Linked DNA regions of Caenorhabditis elegans. The protein of the gene in region 3 interacts with the protein of the main gene of each other region in a biochemical or structural test. Each region holds a gene or a part of one and is shown on either strand. Other genes may lie near its edges. The genes, in order: mpz-1, dsh-1 and sre-24.

Region 1 (9,958 bases), on a different chromosome or scaffold from region 3:
TCATCAATGCGTGACTGTAGTGTTGAAGGACCAACTTCGTTGAACATGACACCAGACTACATATACTCGAATGATGATGTGGAGAACTCGTGCAAATCGCCACGTCAACCATCGAAACGGCTCAGAGTTTGTATGGAGATGGTGGAGACGGAGAAGAACTACTTGTCACTGTTGAAGCTTGTTGTCAAGGTTGGATATTGACTTATCGCGAGGTGCAAGCGCGCTCCACGGCTAAACGAAATAGCTCCGCCCATTAACGTTGGGTCTCGTTAGGTTTTGGCAAGAAAAACAGAAGTTTCCAAGAACTTTTAGCGTTTTTGGTTGTGTCTTCTGTTGCTTCCATGATTTTTGTGTCGAAACTGAAACTATTCGTTTTTCAACTAAAACAATAGAAAACATTACAAAAAGTTTTTAAAAAATGCTTGTAAACATAACAACTTACCTCTTTTTTTTGGTGCCAATTCCTAACGATACCCAACGTTTGGGGGCGGATCGTTTTTCATTTTGCCTTGGAGCGCACTTGCACATTGATTTCAAAAGTCTCCATTTTCTGATATGAATATTTTTGCAGTTCAAAGAAGCTCTGGAATGTGAGATCTCACACAACGAGTTCATGTCAAGATCCGATGTCGCCATGATGTTTGGAAAGCTGGATCCGATTCTCGAACTTCACGAAAGGATTTTCGCCAGACTGACAGTAATGTCAAACGAAGCGAATACACTTTTGACGGTCGTAAATGGAAAAAAGAACGATGATAAGAATCTGGACTTTGCACAAGTGTGGATTGATGCAAAAGAAGAAATGAAGAAGGCATATCCTCAGTACATCAACTCTTATGACACAATCAAACGGTTATTCGATAAACAGGATCGAGAGAATTCTAAATTTCACACATTTTGCAAGGCAAAAGAGAGTAATCCAGAGTTTCATCGGCTCAAGTTGACGGATTTGATGGTGAAACCAGTGCAACGTCTTCCAAGTGTCATTCTTTTACTCAAAGAAATGGCAAAGAAATCCGATTCAAAGCTGAAGAACAATGCTGAAGAGGCCGCAAAAGCGATTGACGAAGTTTTGAAGTGTGTACTTTCAACATAATTAAATTTTATTTTTCTAAATTCATTTGTTTTTCAGAACCGCCAACAAAACTCGTGAAAAGAATGACAACTTCATTTCCCATCTGAGCAAGTTCACTGACATTGAAAATGTTCCAGTAAGCGCGGAAATTTGTTGAACAGATGTTAAAATAATTTTTTTACAGCCAATTTTGGTGGCTGCCAATCGAATGTTCATACGAGAGTTGGTCGTTTCTCCGATTGCAAGTACGTCGCCAGGTCTACAGCAGTTTGCGAAAATGAAATTATTTTTATTTCATGACGTGCTAATTGTAAGAGAGTCTTTAAATAATTATTTTGAATAATAATTCTGAAATTTCAGATCACGAAAATACGCAGCGAGAAGAATACAATGCAACGTCTAGCTCGTCACGCGTCGTTTGCCAGTTTACATTCGAGACAGCGTCGCCCCTACAGGTACATTGACCAGATACAGTTGAACACGATGCGTAGTGCATTCCGAATTCGTGCTCCCGACGAGATTGCGAAGTGTCTGGAGTTGCAGCAGCAGAACGGAAGCACAAAGCCAAATGTGTTTGTATGGTGCCTGATTCATCGTGACGAGCAAGGTGGTGACATTGACACAGTCTTCGAATCGAATGATGATGAAGAGGTTCGAGATTTTCTCGACGATATTCATGTGAAGATCTTGAGTGATTGTGGGAGATTCTTCTACTCGTCGGATCCATCAGATATGAATGAGATCAACGATGCGATGGTTTCGGATATGACAACTCGATACTTTAGAAAGTAGGCTTATTTCAGGTTTCAAGTCTTTAGAAAAAATCAAAATTTCAGTCTTTGCGGAGCGAAACCACAATATGGACACGGCAGTCAGATGAACATTACGGTCAGTGAACGATCTACACAAAACGTGAGAAATGAAGTTTGATACATGAGTGGAGAAATTAAAATTGTCCACAGTGTTACACCTAACTTGAATGCTTATATATAAACTTTTATTACAGGAATGGTCACACAATGAGTCGTTTATGCCACCACCACAGTCACAGAGTCGAATGCGACGAGCGTTCAGTAATGCTCAACTCACACTTGCCACCACGCTGGGCTTTGGCAGAAATCAGAGTCGAAATAACTTGGGACAAATTAGTGCGTTTTTAGAAAATTTATTTTTTTTTCTTCTGAAATTGTATTTGATTCACTAATTTCAGACGAGAACACGACATTTCTGCAGTCTCCCAGAGTTTCGTGTGATCCAGCAGCTCTCGCAAACATGACGTCAGTCGGCGGATTGCCTGGATGCCAAAGCGAATCTGAATCGACGCCAAAGCGAGGAATTCGGTACGTCAATGCACCCCACAGATTTATCGGAGACAACACGTTTTCGAGATCTGTCCGAAAAGTCAATTTGAAGATCTACGGTTTCAGGATGTGGCACCGTGTCAACTAGAAATACTCGTAGTTTTATCGAAGAAAAACTTAACAATGATGCTCCTTTGTTGTCACGTTTTTCTTCGAGAAAACCACGAAAATTTCTAATTGGCACGGTGCCAGATCCTGAAGCCGTAGATCTTCACATTGTAGATATTCTTTTAGTAGATCTTCTTTTAGTAGATCTTCTTTTCGGCCGGATCTTGAAGGCGTGTTGCCTCATTCATTGACCATATTTTCCCATGAGTTAATGCCAAATTGACACTCTACATCTAACATATCCTGTTAGTTATTTCAGTTCTCGCCTCACCTCGACAACGTTCCTCGGCGGCCGACACAACATACTCGGACGAAACACGTCGATGCGCCGTCAGGCTACCGGATTTGCTCATTCGGAAAAGGAACTACCTCGCTCAAAAACATCTTCATATCGTGTCACCGATATCTGAAACTCCCCGCACCCGTGTAACTGATAACTCGAATCTCTCCTCCGACTGATAAATAATTCGTTCTCACTCTTTTCCGAGCTTCATACCTCCAGATGCTCACCGGTGTATTTTGATGGTTTATTTCTTGCTTGCTCTCAGCTCCCTCCCTCTTACATTTTTCATGTTTTCACCCGTAGTTTTTCATTTCGTTTTTGTAATTACAACAACCGAAACTACCGTAATCACCATCCACAACTACGACCAGATCCTTTGTATCATACTGATTTACCATTTACCACAGGTGTATTTTTCCCCCCAAATCGTCATTATCATCTTCCTGTCCCCGAGGCTTGTGTGACCATTGCTCCTTGACTTTTATTATTTCCCCGAAATCACTTGTATGCCATTCTTATCCGATACCCCTTTCCCCTTTTATTCTCACCATTCATTTGAATGGTCATTCCCCCACAGTAACGTTACGATTACTTTTTTCTTTTTTTTTGAAAATTCAAATTTTATTCTTGTTAGAAAATGCGATAGGGGGTTCAAATGAAATTACACCCTACTTGTCTTTAAGTCTTTGAACTCTCTAAAAACAAAGAAACAAAGATGAGATTAGTGAGAAAAAGGAAACATGGGCGGAGCCTTATAGATGGCCCCTGGAGATTTCATATCTTGGAGCACATGCCGCTTGGCTTTTATTCATTCATTCCGAAACACGTCTTGGCCAGGATCCTGCATATTAGTATATTTTAAATTCAGATTTTTAAATTTTTTTTATCTTCTTAAAATTCGAGCTAATTAATTGTGATTCAGAATCTGGAATACATCATTGAATGATCGATGAGCCAGAGGATATAATAGCAGTTGAAGATGAAGCCGAAAGAAGGTAGGTCTGAAAAGAAAAAATGATTCGAAAGCGAGAAAAAAGATGTGCGTCTTTAATAAGTACAATAACCCGCAGATTCCCGTTATTTCGATAATTTCTCGGATTTTTCCACACATTCTTGCTAGAAAAATATTTTTTGTTCAGAAACAAAACTGAAACTTCTGGTAAAAGTGAATAAAATCGAAGAAAAATGGAAAACGCCGCAGCTGGGTTACTGTACAATTTAAAGGCGCGCACACTTTTCGCGCAGCCTCCAAATTTTATTGGGGAAAATCGCTAAAATTCGCAATTGGATAATAAGAGACTGTTTGAAAAACTTTCTCATACATTTTATCAGTTGATTTGGGGCACGATCGCGCTCCACTGCCAAATTAAAACGCCCCGCCCCTAAACGTTGGGTCTCGTTAGGAATTGGCGGCAAAACTAGAAATTCGAACATTTTCAGTCAATTTTCGCCAGTTTCGTTTTTAGGCTGTTTTTTTAAAATTATTTGTATGTTAAAATTGATGAAATAAAGCTGGTTATAAGTTTGGTTATAAAAAGCTGCGGCAAAAAAAGGGGGAAAATATATTTTAATAGAACGAAGGAAATGCAATGTCTCAATAATATAGTTAGACCCTTCATTTTGTACTCCATTTTTGGTGTCCCCCCGTCCAGAAGGAGACGTCTTCCTTTTCTTCTGCTTCTTCTTCTAATTATGCATCTCCTCTATACTTTTCCTCATCTTTTTTCTTCTTCGTTTTTTTCCTTGGTCCCATCTTTATTCCAATGTTTCTTTGTGTAGTACCACTACCATATGTTGTTCTTTTAATACACTTTCCCTCCTTTCTTGCCTCATTTTTCTTCATATTATAGACATGGTGCATCATGACTTGAAGCATCATGCACCCCCAAAAAAGAAAAAAAAGTAAACTAAGTCGAAAAAGTTTTCGAAAAAGCCCTTTTCCCTGATTCCTATACAAATAGCATTGTGCCAAGTGGACGTTGTTTGGTGGGAAAAAAGGTGCATAGAGAAGGGCGGGGGTCCCGGAGCCGGCTCAATGTTACATCCGTTTCGGAAGAGTTGAAGTAGACAAGGAGAAAGATGAATTTAAGGACTCTTGGGAACTACGCTAGAACACCTTTTCGCTTTTGTTTTCGGAAGTATAAAAAAAAACAGAAAAACTTAAAAAAAATAGAAACTTGATTTAAGCATAATGATTTTTCTGTACACAGAACTGTTATGGGGTTATTCAAGTAGTGTCGGAAAATTAAAAAGTGTAGAAAAATTACGTCACAACCTTATTCAAGTATATAAAAACATGTATTTAAATACATTTGTGACGTCACAAATGTATTTTAATACATTTTGCTACATTACTTGAATAACCCCATTACTCCAAAAATACGGTACCCGGTCTCGGAACGATAATTTTTTTGTTAATTTCAGACTGGTATGCGTCTTTAAAGTGTACTGTAGCCACAAACTTTTCTCATTGCAGATCGATTTTTTAACGCCTGTAACAATGTATATATGGGAAAGAAAAGTATTAAAAATCGATGAAAATTCCGCAGCAACAAATGTTCGAATTTACAGTACTTTTTAAAGGCGCATACCTTTTTGAATTTGAAAAAATTGTCGTGTCGAGACCAAGGACCGTATTATTGAGATAACAATCCGAACGCTTTGGCATCGGGGCTCCGGGAGCTTACCTGAAACCTTTCATCATCTGGAAGAAAACCTAAACTTTCCCGTTTTCCTTTCTGGAAGAACAATATTTCCGAACAGTTGCTTCATTGTTTATAGTTTTGGAAAATAATATTATAAGTTGCCGTATCTTTTTGTTTTCTTTCAACAAAAGATTCAATAGATTTGATTTAGGGTTGTCATACTATTTTCTACCATACGGTACCTACAGGCTTCACCCAAGTAATTAGAATTTTCGCATTCCTCTAAGCTTGGCTACATTTTTTTGTGAAGGCATTTTACAGGCGAGTGACGGGTGACATTCTGTCGCGCCTCAGTAGAACGCGAAGACGGGTGTTTCCACCTGAACCTTCTCACCCAATATGTAACTAACTTCTCAAAAACCAATCCTGGCTTCCACAGGACATCGATTCTCACCAGTTTCTCACCCGTATCAATCGGATAAATCTGGTCTTTTCTTCTTCTTCTTCTCAAGATGCTACTAGCCACCAACACAGAGCACGCCTACTCTTCCTCTCCGTCCGTCTACTCCGCGGCAGCTCCTCCGCCGCCAACTCCTTTTCTTTTCTTCATCTGCTACTTCTTCTTCTTCTTTTCGTCTTTCTGCTCCAACGCAAGACGATAGCTCAATTATCCACAAACACACACACACACATGGAGAGAAATACACACACACAAATGCATCACATTCGCACTCCGGGGAGGAATAGAAAAATAGACGTCGTGTACTTCCAGATTCTGGTTTTTTCTGATTTATGACAATTTTTTCCATTTCTGTCGTACAGTATTTTGTTTAACATTTTTTAAAAATATCTATATGCTGTCAGCACTTTTCATTCCGCCTCCAAGTTTAATAATTCCCCAAAGAACTTTTATCAATTATCCCTAGAAATTTGTTCTCTACAACTAATGTCGGCGTAACAGTCATGCGTAGGCGTTTTCGGCGTGAGGCAGGCAGAGGTCACCTTCAGGTTTGCCCTAATTTTGGATTTTTTGGCCTATTTTTCGAATTGCTTTTTTCCAACAAATGGATAGTTTTCAAAATGTGAATTTTAAGTAAAGATTTTTTTGAAAAAAAAAGAAGCTGGTCGCCTCGATGATTTGAGACCTTGGATAATCAGCTCGAAACTGGTAGATTATGTTTCGATATGAGTTCGGTTATGGATGGTTACTGTACACTATTGCTGGAAAACCGGACGTACACTTTACGTACACCAAAATCATGCCAGTCTTACTGTACACATTTTCAATATTCCAGAACATTTTTTTCTTAAAATGCACACAATTCTACTGAAACTTCTTGGAAGACGAACCTTCCATCCATCATGCCCAAGTGTTTATTCTTCCATTTTTCGACCTCCTCATCTTCCATCTTCTCCGCCTTCATTCCTTCGTTTTTTTTCACATTTCCACTTTTTTTCTTCATATTTCATTTTTCGTCTTTTCTTCCTAATCCTCGTTTTTCTTTCATTTTTCAATGTCCCTTTCCCTTATTTATTGTTTCCAATATTTCCAACAACAGCTCCATTGGACATTTCAAATTTCAAATGTCCGCCCGTTCATTTCTCACTCAACCTTTCCGGCCGTAGGAAAAATAAAGATGAAACTGGACATGCAATTCGTAGTTTTCTTTCGTTTTATTGATGTCTGGACATGTTCGGTTTCTTTTTGGAGAACCTTTTGAAATATCATTTTTTGGAAAAAAAATTCAAAAAATAGTAGCACCAATATTTTAACACCATATTGCTCGAAATATTCGAAATATTATAAACTCTCATTTTCAAATTTTCTTCTTGGTGCTCTTACGATGCTCTATCAAATGTCTGCCGTCTCTCCCAATCAAACAATATTTCCATCTATCAAATGCTGGTCATTGACAACGATTGAAAGATTCAATGAGCTTCAGCTTCTTCTTTCAATGTTATCTTTTCAAATTGATTTTTCTCAGGCGTTTCAATTTTTTCCAAATTCGTGCCTACATTTTCTAATCAAAACTCACAAAAGCATCGAAAATAGGCGGTAGGCAGTCACATAGGTAGGCAGGCATAAAGTAGGTACAAATTGGAGATTGAGACTACGTGACTAGACCCGGATCAACTAAGAATTTTATTTTTAACCTGGTTTCCGCCTCAAAGTGCTCCTCGGAGCAATGAATCGGGTTTTGTGTTCTCATACTTTACACATTGGCGGATCACTTTTAAATTTGTTTGTAACTTTTTTTTGAGGAACCGGAAATTTCCGAAATTTCTTTTTTTTAAATAGCCACAATTATCTTCTGTACTTACAGAGTTAAGCCAAAAATTAACTTTTGATAATTTTTAAGTAAACATTAATTTTTGGATATTTTCCTTTGAGTTCCTTTTTTGGCCCGAATATGCAATATATAACAAAGAAAATCTAAGAAAATTAGATTGCAAAACTTCATAAAATGCGGAAATTGAGTGGGCCAAAGTTTGGAATTTCTAGCATTGGAGACAAAGCATTGGAGACAAATATTCCAGAGCGAATTTTCAGCTAGATAAGTCTTTTTTTCAGTAATTTTTGATTAATGAAACTCAATAAAAAAATGGTCCAGCTGAAAGTTCTCCCCAAAAATTTTCTCACCGATTCTAAATTTTTCAAATTAAGCCCCGCCAATTTTTGTTTTTTTTTAATTCGAGCTTCTGGAGCCAAAGCTACCTATCAAACTTTGACTCTAATTCTTAATCTTCAATTATCAATCTTGAACATGTACCAACCGAGACATGACTGTCACAACAAATCGTGGGACTTCTCCCCTCTGTGAAAGCATGTGGTTCACCGGGAGCACACACAGGGGCTCTTCAACCCTCTAAATCTATTGTTTTTGTGAATTGTGTGTGTGTATGTGTGTGTGTGTAACAAATATCTTTCTGAGATGGCCCCGCGGGCTCCAAGGAGCCAACGAGAGCCCAATGATCTTGGCTCTGATTTTTTTTGGAACATAGTTTAATTTTGGGGTAAAAATAAAAAGAAACGTGTAATTTTAATTGTTTCACTTCTCTGACTGTTTAAATAAATTTCTCCTACCTCTCACACTTATGCTTTTAAGTTGAGTAGCTTTTTAGAAGTTTTAATTTCTGAAAAATTGACAAACATTCGGAATTGTTTCGTAATAGGTAAATTAAATTGCCATATTACAAATATGCCAATTCATGGTTTTTACATTTTCAAAAAATTAAACAGTTTGGCCATCAAAAATTATTGGCCTCCTCTGTCCATAAGAATACACCTTTATTTTTTTTTTTTGCTGTGCAACAAACTCGTATATTCACAATTTTATGTTTTTTTTTGCTTAAAGGCACAAAATTATTTATTTTGATTGGTCTAGCCGCAAAAATTTATGGTAGCGACCATTTTTATATTCAAAATAAAATCTTTAAAAAACGAAAATCTTGCAAAAATCAAGAAAATTTGATAAAAGACAACCCATATTAAGATATCCGTTTTTGAAAATCACGATATACGCTTTTAAAAAAAATCTTCTCCAATTTCATTTTAAATAAATAACTAAATTTCAGGTGCTCAACAGGCAGCACGCGAGGCCTATGGCCGATGCCGTTACAATCCGGTAAGTTTAAAAACTTTTTTGAAAATTGGCAAAAATATGAAATTATTTAAGTTTAAATACCTATTGTGCGGCCCTGTGCACACTAGAATTTTTATCTATATAATTTCATTTATGGGGCCTATCTGCCGGTATAGTGCGACCTACATTTTTCCCGCTTGCGCTGTAAATGTAAATGAGAGCCATTCTAGTCCCAAAGCCTAGCGGTTGCTCAGTGGTCCTCTTGCAATTGTGAGGACACAACAATACCATTTCAGATAGTCTTGAAATTCATAGCTCCCTAAACCAATTTTTTAAAGATGGTATAAAGTTTCAAAAAAGCAGACAAAATAATTAAATACAATTTAAAGCATCAATTAATCATATAAAAATTTCAGAGGAAGAACGGATACGTGAAGTGCTGCGTGAATTGAAATCAAGAAAAGAAGGCGGTGACGTCAAAGAGGATATCGAGAGAATCGAGAGAATCCTCAAAGATCCACTTTTTAAACAACTATCCCATCAGGTTAGTTGTTCCTCCCGGCTTCCTTCATGTTCTTGTGTCTTTAGAAACAGCTGTTTATGTTAGAAACAAGCTTAGTTAGCTTATGTAAACTTTTTTTAGTAAAAAAGAAAAATAAATATATGTTTCATTTTTCGTCGGGTTTGGACTGGTGATCTTAAAAATTATGCTTAATTTCTTTAAAATTTTGTGAAAATCCGGTTGTATAGTTTAGCAAAGTTTAAGAAAAAGATGTAAAGTTAGGAAAATTATAATTTTATTTTGAAATACTCGGAACAGCTCAATTTGCTAAAAAAAAACTAAAAAAAACCTTTAATTCTTTTTCATTTTTTGCAGCCAACATCTTCTCCGGAAACCTTCA
Region 2 (13,065 bases), on a different chromosome or scaffold from region 3:
CTGCATAATTAAAACGAGTCCTCTCAGCAACTCAAAAATTAGAATGCGTCTTTTGTGATGTACATCAACAGTTTTACCATGAAATAAATTAATCTCTTCATAAAACAATAGATCAGAAGATGCACGCCTCGAAACATTCAGAATGCTTTTTAATGATGCCGAACACCATTTAGTCTTGGAAAATGACATTTTCAAAGGAATCAACTACATCGATAAAAGAAATGGTATTTACAATTTTTAGATAATAGAAGAGTATCGAATTGAAAAATCCCAACAAATTTCCTTTTCTCATGATGACTGTTCAATTATTGGTCTGAAAAGTTTTGTTTTTTGCTTTTTTATGCAATAAAGAGTCTGCATAAATTAGCTTTGCACTGTTACCTTTTCAAAACCAGGGTTTCTTCAAAAAAAAAACCAGCAGGCTCAGCCAGCTCCTTCGCTCGGATAAATAAAAAAGAGTTCAATTCTACATCATGCATAATTGCCTAAAAACACTTATATCTTGGGTAATAATGCAAACTGAGCTAAATAAATTCACGGATGATTAAGACATGCCCTATAAAATTAAAAAAAAAACTGAAATTGTTTTTTGAAGTGCTTTATCAAAGTAGGGTGCTTGAAGTAATTTTTTTTAATGTGGGACCTTTTTACATTTTTAGGTTTAGAAAAGAAACAATAAACAAACTAGAAGGGATTTGTAAGCCTAAAAAGAATGAAAGTTTAATTAAATTCAAAAATGACATAATTCCATGAATAATAAAACAATTTGGAAAAAAAAAGCTTAGGCTTAGGCTTAGGCACACAGAAACCAAAGATTCACAACATTTAAAACTGACGAGCCCGGTATATCAAAAACGCTAATAGTAAGCTCTCGCGACACAAATTTCGTCATATTAGCAACAACATTTCTATCAAAAATTAATGTATTTGACACGTTGTTGAAACGTGTACTAGTAGTAAATTTATTCATTTTCCCTTTATTATTTTTTTTTAATTTGACGCGACCCCACCAAATTTCAATATTCTCAATCATTGCGAAGTTTGCGTAGCTAACATGCTCGTTCTCCGCCTCTTCAACACACAAAAAGCTCGACTGAGTCAACTTCCCAAGGCTTCAAACGAAATTGTCAAGGATTTTATTTCGAAATTGGCGAATGCAGCTGGATCCCGCGACAAACTTTCTGACTGCTTCACGCATGATTTTCAGTTTTTCGGATGCGGTTATACTGTTAATAAAGGTACGTGTTTTTCGACCCTGGAATATCTGAAAGTTAATATGCATACTTTCAGCCCCGTTTGTCGAAAAACATTTGGCCACTCCGAATCCCGAGCCGTTGATTCCGAAATGCTCGAGTTTCAATGGAAATGATTCAAAAATCAGCTTCACAGCTTCACATCAAGACGGACCTCGAGAGAATATTGTGGATCTCGTTATTTCGCGTGAGGAGAAGGACAGTCCATGGAGACTTCAATCGGGAAAAATTACAAATTGCCCTTGATCTTCAATAAATGTTGTCGAATGGCCTAAAATCAATAAAATACTGGCTTCGTTTTCCGTGTTCGTTCTCATTTCTCTCGAGGGAAAATTGCTAGAATTTTTTAAACAATAAATGAATAATGAAAGTAAAAGAACAAATTATCAATATAATTTCCACGGGCTTTTCTTTGAAAAAACAAAAGTAAGAGAAAAAGCAAAATGACTTCCAAGTTTCTTTATTTCATTCATTCCTAATTTTTATCAGTCAACTTGCAAAGATGTCGACAAACTTGAATATAGAAGTCAGTATCAATTTAACTGAAATCGATGTGAACGCTCAATTGTAAGTTTTTTGTTTCAATCAAATCGCCTAAATCTCAGAACTTGTTCATTTGAAGAAAGTATTCAAAATTTAATTCAATTTTTACAGAGCTGAGTTTGCTCGTTTCCAACAAGTTCGCGATGACTCGCGGTACGCACAGGACGTTGAACGTGAGTTCGTGTTGGGGCCCATTCGACACCACCGACGGCAGCTGGAGCCATCAAGGTACACGTTTGATTCGAAAGATGAATATGATGTTTGGTTTCAGATCTGCTCCGTTGGCTTCCACAGAGCAGCCAGTAGCTCAGGCTACCACACATCCGTCAACCGAGAATGCACGGGTACCAGCTCTAGTTCTAAGGTTATCTTAATTACGCCTTAAAATATAAAAAACACAACATTTTAGATCAGGCTCATGGCGAGCTCTTCCAGTGGCACAAGGCGGTTCCTCACATATTCGTATCTGGCCGGTGTCACGGAGTGCTACAACAACTTCGACGGCAACTCGTCATCCACCATTCACCAATACTTCGGCATCAACTTCATTTGCACCATATCAACGTCACCGAGGAAGTGCTCTACAAACTTCGGAATGCACCATTTGCTTTGAGAAGCCCGTTGATCCGAGAGGATGTCCTAAATGCCTCAAAGTCATTGGCTGTAAAAAGTGAGTTAATATGAGATATTGAAGATGTTATAATTAGGCAGTTTCCAGATGTGTGAAAAAATGGTTTGATACGTCTGCATCGAAGGCGTGCCCACTATGTCGATTTGAATGGAAACTGCACAGAGACAACCCAGATGTTGTCAAAATTTCAACTCTTGAAGTTCTGAAAAGGCAGAAGCAAAACCGTCCATAGACTTATGTCATGAATACAATAAATTATTGTTACTGAAGTTTTTTTTTAATTGTACAGGATTATAATTTTACGCGTAGCCTTCCATGGGGTTTAGTAAGACTTGTCGCAAATACGGACAGAATGAACCTCTCCTATTCTCGACTAACTTCTGTTTAGAATATAAAAGGACTATATCACCGGCTTATGGCACTCGACTCACTCCACCGAGCGGCGACACGTCTTAAGGAACCACCCTGCAAGCAACTCCAACATGGCCAAACGTCTACAACAACAAAGGAAACCCTTTCACACAGGAACTCTAGGATCAAAAGGATGCAATTGAACTGCCAATAACACCGTGGAACAACCTTTGCTACCTTTACGTGAAAAGTCATATCCGATGTCTATATAAGGAGGAAATTGTGGAAGAAACATCAGTTTTGAATTTACTCAAGTGAACTCCATTTGCTAATGATAATATATAAATAAAGTATTGTTAATAAATGAAGTTTATAAATAAGCATTCCACTGAACCGCCTTCGCGACAAGAATTAAGAAGGCGGCGGATAAGCAAAAATCTTGAATAAATAACAGTTTTTATACAGCTCAAAAAGTAAGCACCAAAACATTGAATTAATATTAACAGTTAATACTCGTATCTTTGTCCAGTTGCCATAAGAAATGAATTATTTGATTCTTCATAGATTGTAGAACTATCATCAAATGGAACATTTGCAGACGATGATGGTTTTCTGGGAAGAACAACAACTCGTCTGAAATATTTTAAAATTATATTGGGAGTTATTTCGAAAAACTATGTCAAAAATGTTAGAGTCTACCGTGTTATATAAAATTGGAACTTTTGAAGTCAGAGAAATTCAGACGAAAGTTTTTAAATTTCCAGTGCCTCACACTTTTCACTTTTTTCCAACTTAAGAAACAAGTTCTTTTGGTGTGGTTTTGAATTTTATTTTTTTCTTGAAAATGTTTAAAAAAGCTATATATCTTTACAAAATACAAAAATTTCTTTGTATGTTTATAGTGGAAAAACTCACTGTTTTCTAATTCCACCGCCACTACTTCCACTGGTTGTACTTCCTTCTCTTCTCTGTTGCTGCAATTGAGCTGGTGGGAATGGTGAAGCCGGCATTGATGCATATCCACTTACCTGTTTATATATTTTTCAAATAATATATTTCTCACTTTGCAATGTTCGTGTGGTGTGAAATATAACAACATTCTTTTGATTCAGAATATTATTTATTATTCTGTCATTCTTGTGGGTGGCAACATTGGACTGATACATTTACATGCTACTGAGAAATGAGGGGGCGAGAAAATAACAATGATATCGAATATAAACAATAATTTTAGGGCAAATGCAATAGAAAACAAGACGTTTTTTTTCTTAGTATAGGGTGCATCTATTTCAGACAAGGATGTGGGGAACTCGTGAAGAAGATCGCAATTCGTGTGAATTTGAGAAGGAAATGCAACAAAAAATCGACGGACAGATTCAAAAATAGAATAATCAAATAAAGGAAAAACATCCAAAATTACAATCACCGGGAACATATGAAATTTTGATTCATGATTGGAGACTTAGAAGTTACAAAATATTAAATTAGAACTTATTGTAATACCGGGTACATGGTGTACTGTGAGAGAAACTATTTTGAATTATGCCATTTTGGCATTGATTACCAGACATAATGAAACATAAACATGAAGAAAAATGATGACATTCTAAATGTGCATTACATACATGCGCGATTCGCCGTCGCTTACCATTGACGGAGCCATCCCTTTAAAAGCTCCAGGAGGGCCAGCCATACCTCCAGGTAAATGTGGGGGTGGGAGCATCACAGAGCTTCCGTTGCCAGCAGACATTCCGTTCATTCCGATGGTCCATTGGTATTTGGGTCCACCATCTTCATTTCGGAATCGGGCATAGTCTGGAAGTAATTTAGAAGATATAACAAGAAGGGTTGAATTTCATGTTTTGAATCAGGCAGGGCAGCCTTGAATGCAACCAACTTTTTTGCATTCCTATGGAGATTACAGGCAGACATTTTTGTGCATCAGTGAAAAATTTGTTTTAAAAATATAATTTGAAAAAAATAATTTTTTAAAACAAATTTTTAACATTTCAGTTCAAAAAAATTGCATTAAAGATTTCAAAAGACCCACTTCCATCTTCATATACAAAAACTTTGACATTTTCCGAATAAATGTATACTTTCCTACCTGAACACTCATCTCCAAGGACATAATAGCACTGCTCAGTGAATGTGACCTTGTTCACCACATGTGCAATATACTTTAATTTCAGTAAATCCGCCGCAAAGTTTCGTGCTGTCTTCCGTTCTCGAAGCCCTTCAACATGATCCAAAAGCCATTCGACCAGATCAGATCCTAAAATTGAGAATTAGAATAGGCTCTACACGTTCATTCAAAACTTACCCAAGAACGACATGGGAATCGGAATTTTGAGCCATGTTCGATTTTTGATATCAAGACCAGAGCCAGGCATAGCCATTATTTCGACAACCTTCTTTTTGTCAGTGTGTATATCAAGAATAATATGAGCTCCGCCGCCGACTACTGTATTTTGACCATTTGATCCGTTTGAGGTCACCGTTGAGCTGCTTGGCGGTCGACCATGAGGCCATTCACCAGGAATTGGTGTCGGTGCACTTTCTGGAAAAAATTTTTTAATTAATAGATATTTGTAGGAGAATAACGTAGAAGAAGAACAAAAAACAACATCGAGGCTGTCTTCCTGCCTGCCTACCTGTTTTCAAAATTTTGGTGCAGAAAAAAGGTTTGACTTAATTTTACATTCAGCCTTCAAAATTAGAGATGTGAAAAATTTCATATTTTTATTTTTGTTTCAAAAAAAAATTGAAAATTCCAAAAAGCTTTCCAAATGTTGTTCTACTTTAAAATATCCTAAAACATCAGAAGTCTGAAAAACATCAACTTGAAAGTAGCGAAGAAATGCACTGAATAAATTTCAGCCTGAAGTTGAATAGGTTGAGAGTGCAGCTTATAATTTTGCAAAAAATAAAAAGATCAATCAAATAACAGGCAGGTATTTTGTTTAGTTTTTCTACACTTCCAATCAAAAAACCATACCTTCAACTATACTTGGCATTCCTCTCATTGCATTCGTATGCTGGATCCATGCTTGAGTATCGATTGGTCTCACAGGCTCTTCTCTGCTATTCCTTGGTATTGTGAAACAACTTTGCCCATTTTCAAAACTTTTCGCCACAGTTAATTTGATGGGGCCACGACGGCTAACAGCTTCTCTGAAAATTCATATGTTGAAGAATAAGCTCTCAGTAAAAAATAATAATTTTTACCGTAACACATCAACAGCTTGATCGTTAGTGAAATTCTCAAAGCTGGTCTCATTGACTTGTAAAATCATATCACCAGCTTCAATTCTTCCATCCAATGCCACTGCACCTCCCTTCATGATATTTGCTACGTAGATTCCATTATCACCACAATTAGAAGTTTGACCAACAATTGAAATGCCAAGGAAATTGACTGTATCCATATTGAGGTTCACTGTTATTACATCAAGGCTCATAGAGGACTCTGGAATTCGAATGGTAAAAGTTATGCTAATTTCGAAGAGGTCATACCTGTGATACTTGAAAACGAAGATGCTCTAGAGGGTTTTCGGAAATTTCTTTTATTCTTCTTTTTCTTTGCCATTTTTTCATGTTGTCGGGATACTGATGTGAAATCGGTTGTTGTAGAGCCTCTGAAAAATTGAACGTTTTATAGTTGAAATTGTTATAGATTTTTCAGAATTTTCAGTCCAACTTTTGAAAATTGAGTCTTATTGAGAAACTTAAAGAAGCTTTGCATATTCGATGCCCCACAAAATAAATACAAATGATTTTAAAATTTAAAAAAAAACTGTAGAAATTTTTTAAAATCGAATTATTAATTTATGATAAGCGAAAACTGGTTAATTTCCATTTTGGACTGTAAATAAAAATTTCATAATTTTTTGAAAATCTTACTGTGGTTTTCAGTGATTTTTGCAACTCGTGAGTAACTTTGAACGTTATCAACTAAAATTTTACATGGTTTTCACTAGCTAAAAAAGGAAAACTAATGAGAATTGTGTTCCGTGAAATTCTAAATATAAGCGGAGCACTGCACAAAACAAAATGTTCAAATTCCTTAAAGTTACAACCTAGAAGTTTGTTCCACAAAATCCGAAAAGAACTGAAAGATTTATCGAAAGCAATTATCCACTTCTCATCCATCTCTTTCCACCCGTTCTCACGTCCTTTTCTTCCCCTCCCCAATTTTTATTAGTTTCCTTCAAATAGTGCACAACACTAAGAGCTTGTTGTGATAGTCACTACCAGGCTTTAGCTAGAAGATAAGCGCCAAGCAGGAATTGCTCAAATTTAACGAGCTGTGTCTTATCGCAGAATAAATGAACTGACACGTCGCGAGTTGTGGCACCCGTGCTGCTCGGCGGAGCTGTTCCAATTGCATAGTAATAATCAGAAGTTGAAGTGGAAGTTGTTGAATAATAGGCTTTACCATCAGAGCTTGCGAAATCATCGTCAGTTATGTAGCCGCTCATTTCACTATTTGAGGAGCGGAAGGGCGAAATCATTGGGGGCAGAGTGAGCGGGGATGAAGGCCCGCTTTAAGCCTAGTCATTTGTCACTTTATGTGACAGACAGAGAAGACACAAAAAAAGGTATTAACTATTTGAGAGGCAAAATGAAAACCATCGAATTTTTGAAAATATTTAAAATTTAAAATTTCAAAGGGGTATTGCCTATTCGTAAACTTGGTTTTGTTTTTATGAGTTGTTATATTTTGAATGTAAATTTTTTTCAATGTTGCATATTCCTTGAGATAGCCCTGCAAGACCTGAATGTAGCCCTATTATAACTTAAACTTTTGCTTTAATTTTTTATAAATAAAAATTTGCCGAATAAAATACACTAAATTTTGAAAGGAACACTGTCACCAGAGTACTGGCTTTACATAAAAATTCAATGAAATGAAACCTATGTTTATAAAATTAAAAAAAAAAACATACCTATCATCATCATCTGAAAATACTCTTGCATCGGATTCGGAGCCAATTGTTGATTCTTCGAGATGTCGTCGGTGCCCTGGAATTTAAGAAAACTTAGAATTCGATGCTTTTTCAAATTTTCATAAGATTTTGTTTTTTGAACCTATTACCCTTTACTTGATCACATCATTTTTCGCCATCATTTACCTACCGATCAAATAAAACGATGCATCTGCACTAAGTTCAGAGGTTAAGGATAGATGTGACGTCCTATGTAGAAATCCAATAAGATGTCTTCTCGGCGAAGCATCCGGTGCAACATCTTTCCTTCCTTGATAAGTACTTGTTGTATTTGATCCGCCGTACCTTCGCATTCTGCGCTTCTGTGCTCGATCCGCTCTCTCCTCTTCCACCATTGCCGCTGTACTTGCTGTTTCTTCCTCATAAAGTGGCGGAAGCGATGGACTAGTTGGAATCAGTGACATTGTACGGCTCATTGTGCTTCTTCGTGAAACAAGAGGTCGGCAATCAGATGATAGACCACTTCCATCTACAGTGACCGGCCGACACCTATCGATTCGGTTCAAACTTCGACTTTCAGATATAGTAATACTAGGAATAATAGGTGGACGATCGGTGGTTATTTGACACGTTTTGGATTTTCTGAGCTCCCTAGATGGCGGAGCAAGTGAAACAGGGGAATCAGGAGCCGCAAGGGAAAAAGTTGGTCTGGCTAATGCTGCAGCTGGTGCAATGAGATCCGGTGGTGGTGGCTGAGGTGGGCTCAGATTCTCTTTGAATTCTTTAGTATTAGATCGAGAACTTGATGGTGATGGAGATGCAGACCGAGATTTTGAACCACCAAGTGAAGTTAAAGACGTTAAACTTGCAGCCGAGTGGGACAATCTGATAAGAGCTCCAAAAAACGATGAAGAGGCGGAACCACCACCGGACTCTTTTCCGTTGGCGCCTCCTGCACTTTTTTCGCTTTGTTTCCGTCGTTGTAAAAATCTGCGCTTCGTTGTCGTCTTAGTATTATCCCCCTCTTCGTCGTTACAATCATCTGATGCTTTGCTGGTGCCGGGAAACAGGAGAGCCCCCTCGCTGAGCCGTTTTTTAAGTGGACCACCGAGCGCATTTGAGACCATCTGTCGCCATGTGGATCCGGCAGGTGTATGATTATTTGTGAGATCAGTTAAAGTCCGTTTTAATCGAAATGGTGCCTCAGACTCCGGCTCCACACGACTTTTACTTCTGCTCTTCTTCAACTTTTTCCCCGTACTTGGTTGCTGCTGGCTTCCTGAATTTTCCTTATCATCAGAAGCTTTGGAGGAAGGGAGAATGTTGTTCAGAATTTTCAAATTTCCTAATGGATTTCCTGTATATTTCTTCCTTCTTGGACTTTTTACAACTTCCGAGACGATAGTTTTCTCATCATCAACCAAATCAAGATCATCAATCTTAGCAAGTGGTGGAGCCTTTTTCTTCTTTTTTGGTCTTGACGATGTATTTGTAGGTGACGTTTTCAACTCAATCTTGTTAATCAATTGTGATACAACTCCCGGCGAGTGTTGTCGATTTGGTGGAGGAGCCGTGTATGTCGAACGGACTTTTCGTTCTTTTGAAGTGAATAATAATGAGCGAATCATATCAGATGAAGTGGATGGGGTATTTGAGGAGCCAGAAGGAGATGGAAGGGCTCTATCTCGAGCTCCAAGCTTGATACTCATTGCTCGCTAGTGAGCTATGAGCAATCGTGTCGTTCTCTAGAAAATCGGTTTTAAGTTTTTGATAGTAATAGAGCTGGGAAGTAATAAAAAAGCTTGAAGGTAATAAAAAGAAGAGAAAGAAACGAGAAACACACCTCGATGGGGGGTCATAAATTTCCCAGCATCCCATCTTGTGGCTCATGATGCACTTGGATTAGAAACAGATACTTTCGTTTTACTTTTATCATGTGCTGGGAATTTAGAGAGAAACTGAGAATTTAATAGTCGACACATCGGGAAAGTTGGTACTCAAAATAATCCTGTTGACACCATAAACACTGTCGTTAAACTTTAATCGGACTTGACATATGTCATGTTAAATCTCAATTGACTCGACTATGATAGTGACATCTAAAATTGATAAATTCCTATATAATGAGAAATGCAAAGATTGAGATATTATAATTTTAATATAATATAATTGGTCTATGAGTTTGTTAAGATTCAAGCCATAACAGTAGAAAAATTTAAAAAAAACTCAAGTTTTTATACGCTTAAATCTCGATGTTATTTTGAAAGACAAATGTTTGCTTTCATTTAACTTTTATTTAATTAATCGTTAACATTCACTGATACATCTAATAAAATTAAAATTATAGTTCAATACGTTTCGGTCGAAACTATGTGGCTATCAATTAATAAGATTTTCCCCGTTTCGCAAAAGAGCTTCAGAATAAGTGTTACCATTTCTCAACTAACAAATTTCTTCAACTGGTGGGCTGGAAAATGGCACATGACAACTAAAACCAAGAGCTCACTATCAGTTATTTATATCAACAAATTGCAACTTGACTTATGGCTCACAGTCAAACACCGCAGAGATCCAGAGGAAAACACAATTTGCTATGGTCAGATTAAATGGCAGTTGCTTAAAGAATATTGATCGAAAATTTTTCATCATGACTAGTTGAACAAAGAGTTGCAAATTGATCTCACTGAAACATGTTGCAATGGCTCTTGATGATGACGAAGTATAAAATCAAATGTTTGAATCCACCTACACACATGGGCTAGCAAACATTGATCGGAGGCAGGAAAAGCGGATAAAGCATAGAAAAGATCATTATCAAACTGTCTTTTCTCCCCAAAATCCCGATAGGTATCATGATAGAAATCACAAGTGAGGGATATCCGAAAGTAAATAAAACCACAGATCTCACTATTATAAGGCAGATATCTATTTTCGTGTTAACGAGAATGAGAGCAATATTATGAGATCCTGGGGTGGGTACTAGAGACTATTTCGACACAAAAACGATAATAGTGACAAGTAGAAACATACACAGAAATCGACAAGTGAGCGGACAAAAAAAACTAACTAAAAGTGGGGTGAAGTGGTATGAGGTCTCGAGAAGAGTGTTCAAGTGGAGAGAGAGACAGAAGGAAAGCATCTTGATAAACACTGTGATAAACTCATCGGTCTTCGGGTTTTCATTCCCACTGACGTCGAGCACAGAGATATAGAGAACGGTTTCTCACAAAAAGTGGTGGAGCAAGCAAGGAGCCCGGTTGACCCCCTAACAGAGAAGTTCAAGGACTAATGTTACAAAAGATCGAGAATTGGATGTCAAAGAACATATTTTTCCAATTAACAATGCTTACAAATTCTACCGTACACTACAGTTCTTAAGGTCGCAAAGAGATATTTTTGGTATCTGGTTAATAATTTTTTATTCTCTAATGTCGAAGCTAAACTAAACTAGCTGTGACTTGTTCGCAATTTACCATTTTCAGATGTCATTGTCAGATATTTCAGAACAAAAATTTTTGAAATAAAACAGCTGGGTAGCCTTTCAATGCAACTAGATATCCTGAAAATAATAATCTATTTGTTTCAAAAGTAACAAAATACTTTTTTTTTAATTTTCAACAAAAGAGAGTTTGGATGAATTTCTAATTTGGAGGAAAATTAAAACAGATTATAAAATACGAATTTTATAGAATTTGAGAATATGCTCCTCAGATTAAATTTTCAGAAAAACACAATGAACTAAAATACTTTGAAAAGAAGTTGTACACAAAAGGGAGAATTTCAATTGATTTATACACCCAGCTACCAGGTAATAACCACAATTATGTGATTTTAATTCCACGTAATCACACTGGGGAAATCATCGATATGTATGTGTGTGTGTGTGATTAAATTGAAATGAAATGAAATGTATGTATAAACATTGAATGAAAGCAAAGAAGGAGGAGATCTCCACTCATTGAAATGTGTGTTGGTTGGTTGACTGGCAGCCAGCCAACAAGATGAGCCCAGAAGATAGAATTGAAACAATTGGTCCTTTCTCTGTGCTCTCTCATTTCTTTATGATCTATGAGAAGTGATCTGGGAGATCGGCTCATTAACACCAACATAAAACATGAAAATCAACGGAAGGACATGATGGGGTGAAAGTGTTGAAATGATGTGATCAAGATTTTATGAGGGGAAGTTTTATTGGGTTCACTGACACAATGTAAAAGTTTGCGAGAACTTTCTTAAGAACTTTTTGAGACGAGGTTTTTCTTCCAATTTTTTCTGAAACACTTGGGACCAAGTTCATCGTGTTTCCCGTTTCTCAATTACCCCAAAAGCTAATGTTTGTTTTTTTACCATACAAAGCCTTGAGCCATCTAAGCATTCACAAAAATGCTCACTAGCCTTGACAACTGGCTATACGTGTAATTAGGCACTTTTGTGATTGCATGAGAGGCCCACAGATTATTGTGCAGAACTATTTAAAGTGTTTTTTTTTTGAAATCGAGTATATACCCGTTTTCCAAAAAACAAAAAAGAAACTAACCCAAATAATGTTGTGGAAACCGTCGATTATAGGCAGCACTCTTCAAGTATCCAGGAATTGCTGCCGAGATCATTGATTCCGAATCGGTGCTCATCACTGAAATTCAGGTTGCGTTGAATGTATCAACAATAGTTATAGTTCTTTGAAAAAGAAACAAAATAGACCCAGAAACTGGATCACGGGGACCATAGGGAGGGAAATAAAATGAGAATTAAACAGACATCTGGAGGTTTATGACTTGAGGGTATGAAGACAATTTTACTAGATGAATTGAATTTTTAATTTCTTTTGTCATTGGGGGTTCCGCTAAAGTTTTCCGCTAAATTTTTTCTACTGGGCCCCAAAGAAATTCCTAGATTATTTGGAGCCAATTAATTCCGATACAGTTCTTATTTCCTAGAGAGTTGCCAAGTCCGAATTTCATATATTTTCTGACATAATTTTTTGAAATTAAAAAAAAATCAAATTTCTGGCAAGCCAAAGATTTTCATGTTGGATTTTTCTGGGCGCCGATCAAACTTGACTTGCCAGTTTTTTTTTAAATTTTTCTATGATTTATTATCATTTTTTATAAATAATTTTATCGAATATTTTCTGAGCTTCTCTCTAACATTTTTCGATTGAAAAAACTCACTGGAATTATCAAATTGATAAGCAGCATGTTGATAATTCATAGGTGGTCCATTTCGATTTGAAGGCGCCGGTCCAGGTACTGAAGGATATTTTCGCATCTTCCCACTACTTCCATCCGAATGAGTTGATCCTTCAATTGTCAAAAGAAAGAGCTCAAAAAGGTTATTT
Region 3 (9,319 bases):
TTTCAGATTCCAGATGACGATCTGGAATTGAAAAATGTGAGTTCCCAGAATCTTTGAATTTGGTTTTTTTTTTCACAAATGTAAGCAACTTCAGGTGGCATTCTCTAATGGCACTAGACCAACTTCTCTAACTTTTGGTTGTGCCAGTTCTGACAAATGTTGTGGAATGGAATGTTGCAGTAAACCAACTAAACTAGTTGTGTGAGTGAACATAACATCCCTATATTTCAGGTACAGTCGTAACTTTTTGCAGAATTCTTGTTGTGCTCGGGTTTCTGTATGGAACTGTAATGTATTGGCTTGATAGGAAAGGATATATTAAAAGCACGAGAGAGCACAGAATGAGAGGAATTCAGTGGTTGGCAGAGAGACTCAAAAAGGCGCAATCTGTATATATCACTGCAAGGGACGAAAATATACCAAAACCTCCCGGGCTTGCAGCTTTACAACTAGCCAATCCTGCTCCGTCGGACTACAATCATTTTCTACAAAGCTGTGGCAAAAGTTCGGTTGCCCCAGAAAACTTCTACACGTCTCAAAAATTTTAGAGCTCTGCATTTTTCGAATGTCTTGCATTTCAGAAAAAAAAATTATTTGCTTTGAAGACACATTATGAAGAATATAATTTTTTATCAACAGCAATTCCCGGTTTTGGCATTTTTTTGGTAAAAAAATTTTTGATTTCCGAGTTAGACACCTCAATTTCTATTATTTCCACTGTTCGAGATTTTTAATCTTTACTTTTTAGTCACTTATGTGTGTAACACTTAATAAAAGTTTTACCAAAATACTCACCGAGACAAAACATACCCCTTACAAAAATGGTGTTTACTAGGTAGAATAATGCATTAAAATATTTTTGCTGTGTATAAAATGGAGCTTACTTATTATAAAAAAAGAAAATATTAACCATGAACCAAACATTTGAATCAACCACCCAATCCCCAAACCTCACCAAATTTGGAGATCTGCCAAGCTGGTTTGATGAGGCTGAAAAAAAATTAAATTTTGTTCTGGCGATACTTCAATTCTTTGGATTTGGAATTAACCTGGTTCACTTTTCAATTTTGAGTAGAAAACATTTAAGAACCAATTCAGTCTACCGACTTATGATTGGAATTTGCTCGTGTGATATCATATCACATACTCTAACATTTCTCGCATTTTCTCCTTTCTGGATTCGTGAAGTTCGGAAAAAGAACCAGGAATGTTTTTTAACTATGACCTATAGGGATGCTGTTCTACTACTCTACCCGGTTATCGTCCTGGATATCACTCAACGGAGCTCATCGTGGCTTGCCGTACTGATGGCTCTGTATAGAACTCTATCGGTCAAGTATCCAATGAGCACAAAAATGCACAAAGTTTCAAATCCAAAGTGGGCATTGTGGACGATTATTGGAGTGTTGGTAGTTAATACTGCGTGGACTTTAGTAGTTTTTGGAAGACATAAAATTGACGGAAGGAATATTGACTATGAGTAGGTTCATTCTATCTTCTACCTGCCTACGCACCTACCAATGTTGGTCTTATTACCAATTTCAGGTGTTTTTTCAGTGCACTTTATATTTTCCGCATTTGTTGTTTCTACAATTTTTTTAAAAATTTCTTTTTGAAATTTAACAAGCCCGCCAAAACTGTTTTTGCAAAACGTATAGTAATCTGACTTCCCGGCATTTTTTAAAAATTACATTTTGAACTTCATAGTCAGCCAAGATTTAATAAAAAAATTAAAAAAAAACAAAGTTTGACATTTATGAAAAAATTTTTTGGAAATCATAATATTTGAATTCCCGCCAATTTTTTTTCGAATAGTTATTATTTTAGTTTCCGTTATAGTGATTTTTAAAATAAAAATTTAAATCTGTAAAAATGGTTGTTTTTCTAAGTCTTCGTGGCCTATCATCCATTTGAAATTTGTTGCAAAATCAAAAAAATAATCAATTCTGTCAAACAATTATTTTCAGTTGCGATGGTAACGAAGTCCACCTTTCCCAGCTCCGTTTCATGGTTCTGGTCGACACCTCCCTTGAACACCTCCATAGCATCATAACCTCAATATACGGAATCATCAAAGCCCTCCCATCCCTTATAGATCCGATTCTCACTGTTTTGTTGATAATTGAACTGCGTAAGGCCTCAAAACGAAGGAAAAATATTGGAAAAGAAGATTGTGGAAAGTCAGATAACACTACCAAATTGGTACTTTTTGTGACCATCTCATTTTTCATACTGGAAGTTCCCAATGGGTTTGCCCATGTTACCGCGGGGGCTTTTCACGGAAACCCTGGAATTCTAACAATTTCGTATATGATTCAAGTTTTTGCCGAAATTCTTCCAGTGTTCAATTCATCCTCTCATATATTCATTTGCCTTGCCATGTCGTCCCAGTATAGAGAAACATCATGTGAGATTTTCTGTGGAGAAAAGTCGAAAACACAGGTAGTGGGAATTTACCAAAAAATACGTTATTATGTTTCTAATATGATTACAGATCATTAAAGTTCAAGAATGCCACCGACATGCTACTAATACTTCTTGCGGATAATTTGAAATGGACTTTCAATTTTCAGCCAATAAATTATTTTGAAAAATCACCTTCTGTTTTTTTATAAATTCGTGAATTTTCTGGAATTTCTTCTTTATCTCTTCCTTTCCCCCACCTATGACTAAACCTCAGCCTAAGCCTACGCCTAAGCCAAAGCCTAAGACTCAGCCTACGCCTTTCAATCGTTTAAAACAATTTTAATGATTTCTCAATGTTCATCTCATAGTATGTTGCTAATAGAAAACAACTTTTCAACATAATCTCTCAGAAAAAGTTTTTTTTCGCTGAACTGAAAACTACTGAAATTTTGTATTTAAACTCAGAAAGAGCATACCAAGAGCACAAAAAATGTGCGAAAAATGTGCAAAAAATGTGCAAAAAATGTGCAAAAAATGAGCAAAAAATGTGCGAAAAATGTGCGAAAATGTGCGAAAAATGTGCAAAAAATGTGCAAAAAATGTGCGAAAAATGTGCGAAAATGTGCGAAAAATGCGCGAAAAATGTGCGAAAAATGTGCGAAAAATGTGCAAAAAATGTGCAAAAAATGTGCAAAAAATGTGCAAAAAATGTTCGGTTTGTTGCAAAGTGTTCCCAGTGTTAAATAGGTTCTATGAAATATTTATTTGCATCACTACATATCTCAGTGTTTTTTCAGCAATTTTCTCCCGAGAGCAACTAAAATGCTTTTTATAAAGTTTCTTGCAAAATTGGAATTTTTTTCAAATCCACGCATCCTTCAATTGTCTAAAATAAGTATCCGTTTCTTTCATAATTTGCTTCTGATTGTCATCAATAACGTCCACACTAGACATTCGTATAACCATTTTTTGACGGAAAAATGAAATTTCCGGAAAATACTTGACGAATCTTTTTTTCCAAGCAGGTATCCCAAACACTATTAATGGCATAATTAGCAATGGATAGCTGGAAATTTCAAGGGTGTTTTTTTGTAATTTTCCCAGGCCTACCAAAACATCATATTTTCTCCTATATGGACTGTAAATGGCGAGAGCAAATTAAAAGATAGTGCCAATAAACCACTTCCAAATAATAAAAGGGAACCGAGAACCGATGCTACTATACGTTCACTGAGCTGAAATTATTTTTTAATTAAAAAAAAATTCCGAATTATCTATGAACATGTCTTATATTTTTTTGAACACTTCATGCTCCTAATCGCATATTATGTTTTAGTTTTTAGCCGACTGACTTACGTAAACTGCTTTCAGATTCTCCTTAACTTGGAATCTTTGAGAAACTGTAAAAACTCTTGTCCTCCGAGGATTCTCCATCTCTTGAAGCCATTTTGTATTTATCTCCCTTATATAAAAATACATCTGAACATGTTTTTTTCAAACTTTATCAAAGTAGTTATGACTTACAAATATGGATACGACAAAACAAGCCACCCAGGGAAGTGTTAGCACAAGTTTTGGAAAAATATTGGAAATCAGAAGAACGGTTAGAGATATTGCAAAAAATTGGGACATTGTGATAATAGCCACAGGTATCAATATATTTGTGTTTTTCTCGTAGTTACTGGAAGTATAGGTAGTTAATTGGAGAAATATAATTAACCAGCTGTTCGACCGGGGCACACAAAATTAATTTATTAAATTTTGAAGCGCTAAGCCACATTTTCCTGAAGTTTCGCGGACTTTCTACAAAACTCGAAGTGGCTAGATTTTTCTAGAAAGGTCTAGTAACTAGAAAAATTGAATATCCAGCCAAAAATTTTTCGATTGGTCGGTATGGGGTCTCACCACGATAGATCTCTCCACGATGGATCTAGTCAATTTTTTTTCTCACAATCAGGAAACCTGAATTTCCTACCAATATTATACCACGTTGGCTCTTACGAAAATAATATTTTTCCCGCTTTTTTGAAAATTATTTCTAGAGTCTTCAGCACCTGAACTACATTTTTCAATACTTTGAGACTACTCCTTTCTCAAAACTATTCCAAAACTCACTCTATCAACAGCGAGGCAATCACTCTTTCTGTTACAACACCCATTATTCCAAAAACCACTGAATACCCAAAATAACATTCCAAAAATCCTGCTACTATCAGAAACCAAATTCCATCCAATTCTTGCACATTGAGCATTTTTTCCGGGTCATCCGTCCAAAAATCGCCTTTTCGCCCGATATCATCAATTATTGGTATAAGTCTATATGCTATAGTTATCAACTTCCCAAAAATCAAAAAGTACCACATTCCAAATGCGGAGCCTCCTATGATCATCAAATTAGTATGAAAAATTCGAATTTCTAGGATGGTTTTCAGAGCAACAGTTTTCACGTATCCAGTGAAAATATAGAGGCAAATTTCAACCAAGGTAACCAGCACTTGGCCCCAGTATGGCTCGTCGTAGAAGATAAGCGGGAGCCAGAAGGTCGGGATACTAGAATTTTTGACTTTTATAAACATTTGGAGCTGGAGCAAGTTAGGAGGAAATTAGCTCGGAATAAATGCGGAAATGATATAATAGTTAGTAGATTTCAGGCTAGTAAATTCACCTGTTTTGACTCATGTCATTGCGACGAACATCATAAGACTGGATTTTTGAACAAAACTATGTGTTGTTCGTTTTTTCAATATTTTGAAAGTGGAGTAGCGCCAGTGGGGAAATAGTTAAAAACCACTCCTTCAGTCCCAAAATGACCAAATATAATGATAAAACTTTTCAAAAATTTTTTGAAAATTTTTTTATTCACTGTTAAAAAGTGGCAATTACTCAGTTTTTGCCACTCAAAAGATTGGAAGTGGACCAAAAAAATTTTTTTTCGACATTTTTCTTTTTTTTTGTTTTTTGTAAGTTGTTTATAATAAAACATTGCAGGGGTCGAAACATGCGACATTTCTTTAAATTTCCTCAATAGCTCGAATTTTTCAAAATTTTGGCAATTTGGCAAAACTTTGACCGGAAATTATGAAAAATCTAAAGTTTTTTGGAGTGTTTTATTATGATATTTGGTTGTTTTGGATCATTTTAAGTGCATTTAGACAAAATCCCCACTGGCGCTACTCCACCTTTAAGAAGTTTTTAGAGTTCTTTGAAGCCAGGGTGACTCTGACTTATGTGGAATGTTATAAAAAGTTGTGTTGTGAGGTGGGCTCGGCTACGGTCAATTCTCTCTTTTTTCCTAACAAATTGAGCTTGAAATGATTCCACCTCGCTTCTAAACTTCCACCACTTGCGCTACGTCGTTTACTGTCGGCCACTCCACTTTTGGAGGCGGCTCTCCACCTGCTGACCGTCTCCGCAACACCCGCAACGTGGATGCGCATCCCCTAATTGACTGTTATTTTTATAGCAATCAATGGGTTTACGACAACATCTGTGTTACCTCGTTACATCCCACAAGTTGGCTACATAACATAAATGACATGACAACAATTTATTTGATACATTTGTTTTTGAACAAGACAGGAATTTGAAACTTTCTATCGCCATCACGCTTTGAAAGTTTTCTAGAACAACAACAAAAAACAGAAAAAGCTGATTGGTATTGTATGGAACAACACTATTTGACGGCAATGAACAGTTTCGATTCACTGCCTAGTTGTTGGACGAAGAGTAGGAGTAGGAGCTCTCGTGGTGTCTACCAGCTGCACTGATGTCTCCCGAAGCATGGTAGCCATTGATGTGACCTCCAACTGAGACACCGCCAATGTTACCACCGACGGATATTCCGTGTGAGGAGGAGGACCGTCCGATGTATCCGCCAGTGGATATTCCGCCGACAGCACCACCGGCGGTGATTCCACGAGTGTATCCTCCGGTTGTGTAGCCTCCGGATGTGTAGCCTCCAGCCGTGTATCCACTAGAATACCCATTGGTCGTTGTGGTTGTAGTAGTGGCGACGTGGGTGGAGGATCGGTAACCAGCGGCTCCAGTCGAGTTGGACACATAGGTTGTCACGTTGGCTCCGTTGAGCAGTACTCTGTAGCGTTCCAGCTCTGCTTGTAGCGACTGAAACGGATATAAAATTTCTTGAATCTATAAGTTCAGTTTCCCTAAGTACTAACCGTTTCATGATCGCAAAGCTTCTCCATCTGTATGCTGAGTTCCGTGCAGCGCTCCTTGAACTGTTCATAGGTTGCTTGCTTTGCGTCCAGGGTTGCCTCGAAGATTCTTGCTTCCTCTGCTTGTTGGTGTTTAAGATCTGTGATCGTCGTCAAGAGCCACGCGTTTCTGCTCTCAATCTCCGCTAATCTACTGTGCGTCGTGCTAAGTGTCGTTCGAATGGATAACAGTTCCTCCCTGTAGTCTTCAATATGTACGTGTGCTGGGATAACTCTGATCTCATCGATTCTCTTGCGGTAGGCGATTTCAATGTCCTCGCGGGAACGAATGCTCATCGCTTCATAGTTGGCACGAATGTCTCTCATCGCCGCCTGCAACTCTTGTCGGAAGTAGTCTCGGTTTTCGAGTGTGGTATCACGGTGGATGTAGATGAGCTCCTGCTCGATTCTGGATGAGTTTTCGGTTTGGATAACCTGGACGCGTTGGAGAAGCATCTGGACACTGTGGTGGCGTTCGTTTTTCAACGCGATCTCAGCGTGAATTTGCTGAAAATAGATAGGACTTTGTAAAAGTAGCACACTCGAAATAAGCTACTCTAAATCTAGGCCGCCTACTTGGAGGGTTGGTTTATGGAATGAAGCCCGAATTGGGACCCCAACTGATATCAAGTGCTGACATCTAACTGGTTCCGCGCGCGCGCGCCCACAGCGAGGTGAACATAGTGAGGGCGCGGAACCCGTGAGTTGTTGTCGGCACATGATAGTGGTTTGCGCTGAGGGTTGACCTATTTAACATGTCTATTACTATCAGAAATGTGAGCTTCGTTCTTTTCCCATCAAACATACCGAATGAATTCTGCCAATATCATTTTGAATGCCACCAGTCTCTCGACGAATTCTGAGCACATCCTCCTCAACAATACGGATCTTGCGATTGAACAGCGCGATTTGGGCTTCAACCTCGGCGAGCTTGTCCAAATTGACATGATGATCCTCGCGATGAGATCTCACAACTTTGAGAGCCTCAAGCCACTTCTTGCGGTAGATCTCGATCTCTCCCTCTAGCCCGGTAATGTCGGCTTGGAACTTTGTGCGCGATGACAAGATTCGCTCAGAAATGACTGTGCAGTTCTGGATTTTGAAGATGAGCTTTTAAGGAATTTATCGTACTTACCGAAATTTCTGACTCGAAGAAGCTTGAAATGTGGCCACCGCCCGAGAATCCTCTGCGAAGAATCTCAATGTCATGGGAGAGCACATGGTTTTGTGCTTTGAGGAAGCGAACCTAAAGGATTGAGTAAATTGACGGGTACATATAGAGCAGAGATCAAAATTCAACCACATACATAAAGGAAGTAAACACGCTTATCAGTGAAAATTAATCAGTTATTAGGAATACGGCAAGCAAGTGCCTGCAAAATTATGAAAACTGATGGAACTGTGGTGTGAATATCAGAATTTGACTAAAAAGATAGAGTATATCCCGGCATTTTGCGAGCTCTGCAACTTACTGTGTGAGAAACGAAATCTGGAAAATGTCGGGACATACGCTCTTAAAAGCACATACCTTTTCGATATAATCAGCCAAGCGATCGTTCAAGAGCCCGATCTCTCTCTTCTCACGCTCACGAGCATCCCTGATTTGCGTTGTGCAAATGGCTCCGGCAGATGACATGCCGCTCACCAAATTCGTCGGAATACCTCCGTACAAGGACATGACTGAAAATGAAAAATCAAAAGTTTGAAACGTCAGAATTTGAGAATTAAAAAAAAAACTAAAAAAAGAAGATGCTTAATGGCAAACTGAAAGTTTTAAGATTATACCAAGCGGTTTATAGTCGCCCCGAAAACTGTTTACTACACCAAAGTCTCCGCCCACAAATAGGCCGCCGGACTTATTCTCGGTTTAACCACCCGTCTTATCAGTTGACATTTGTTTGAAATTACTCCGCAAAAATTGTGGAAAACTTGGGAAACTCTGTGCCGCAAGGAATTCTTCCTAATAGCAAAAATTGGTGATTGTTGGCCGAAGGAACTCATTTTATGACAAGAAGGAATACAAAATAATAGAGAGTAGGCATGCCTTCTGCCTACAGATCAGGCGTAACTCGCCTTAATAACTTTGATTACTGCTAGGTAGGCATAGGCTGCCTGCGCTGTTCTAGTTTTGCAGCTTCTAATAGTGTTGCTCCCTTTCAAAATTAGTGTTACAAACGAACCTGGTATATTCTACCAAAAATATGCTAAAGTTTAAGGTTTTGTATTTTATCTACTCAAATTGTATTTATTTCAAGTTTCACCCGAATTTGTCATTTTCACACTTTTTATCAATTCAAGCTGCTCTTGAAAAAAAAAACTCCGCATCATAAACTTTACGGCATTCACTGTCATAGTTTTAAGACTGTATTAGATTGGTCATACCAAACTTTTCCACAAATGCCAATTTCCTTCAGTTTCATTATGGGTTCTTTAAACTCCGCAAACACATTTCTCATTCCTCAGCACCGAAAAAATTTTACTTCCGATTAGTGTACGCAAAATGGGAAGACATTGAAATTATTAAAACTTCACGACTGATAAGAGCGACAAAAAGAAGGCAGAAAACGATGGCATTTTGATAAGAGCTATTCACAAACTAACTACGAGATCGTAAAAAATTGTAGGGGAATAAAAATGAAAAGAAGTTCTGGAAACGTGTGAAATACCTACAAAATAAGCAGGGACCTCTGCGTGCCTAC

Evidence for each region.
Region 1: the proteins of sre-24 (region 3) and mpz-1 form a complex in vitro, tested with the Caenorhabditis elegans proteins (one study listed by BioGRID).
Region 2: the proteins of sre-24 (region 3) and dsh-1 form a complex in vitro, tested with the Caenorhabditis elegans proteins (one study listed by BioGRID).

Annotation. Positions count from the first base shown.
Region 1 is NC_003280.10:10,771,938-10,781,895, reverse strand, and holds the start of mpz-1 (PDZ domain-containing protein), read left to right. Parts: upstream 1-3,769; coding exon 3,770-3,822; intron 3,823-9,048; coding exon 9,049-9,098; intron 9,099-9,472; coding exon 9,473-9,600; intron 9,601-9,933; coding exon 9,934-9,958. Other genes in the region: ect-2 (Protein ECT2), read left to right, coding at 1-189, 572-1,077, 1,133-1,211, 1,260-1,385, 1,436-1,863, 1,912-1,987, 2,082-2,223, 2,286-2,415 and 1 more.
Region 2 is NC_003280.10:5,211,239-5,224,303, forward strand, and holds dsh-1 (DiSHevelled related), read right to left. Parts: upstream 9,437-13,065; coding exon 7,918-9,436; intron 7,804-7,917; coding exon 7,728-7,803; intron 7,430-7,727; exon of another isoform or gene 7,226-7,429; intron 6,417-7,225; coding exon 6,295-6,416; intron 6,248-6,294; coding exon 6,007-6,247; intron 5,953-6,006; coding exon 5,777-5,952; intron 5,339-5,776; coding exon 5,102-5,338; intron 5,054-5,101; coding exon 4,886-5,053; intron 4,594-4,885; coding exon 4,427-4,593; coding exon of another isoform or gene 4,385-4,426; exon of another isoform or gene 3,882-4,384; intron 3,807-3,881; coding exon 3,694-3,806; intron 3,412-3,693; coding exon 3,285-3,411; downstream 1-3,284. Other genes in the region: C34F11.2 (DUF4440 domain-containing protein), read left to right, coding at 1,055-1,238, 1,291-1,499; C34F11.1 (RING-type domain-containing protein), read left to right, coding at 1,756-1,820, 1,908-2,024, 2,068-2,160, 2,206-2,466, 2,515-2,659.
Region 3 is NC_003283.11:2,880,374-2,889,692, reverse strand, and holds sre-24 (Serpentine Receptor, class E (epsilon)), read right to left. Parts: upstream 4,983-9,319; coding exon 4,522-4,982; intron 4,088-4,521; coding exon 3,931-4,087; intron 3,886-3,930; coding exon 3,763-3,885; intron 3,642-3,762; coding exon 3,517-3,641; intron 3,473-3,516; coding exon 3,268-3,472; downstream 1-3,267. Other genes in the region: srw-4 (G-protein coupled receptors family 1 profile domain-containing protein), read left to right, coding at 912-1,480, 1,968-2,502; Intermediate filament protein ifc-1, read right to left, coding at 6,115-6,528, 6,585-7,127, 7,428-7,712, 7,756-7,866, 8,149-8,298.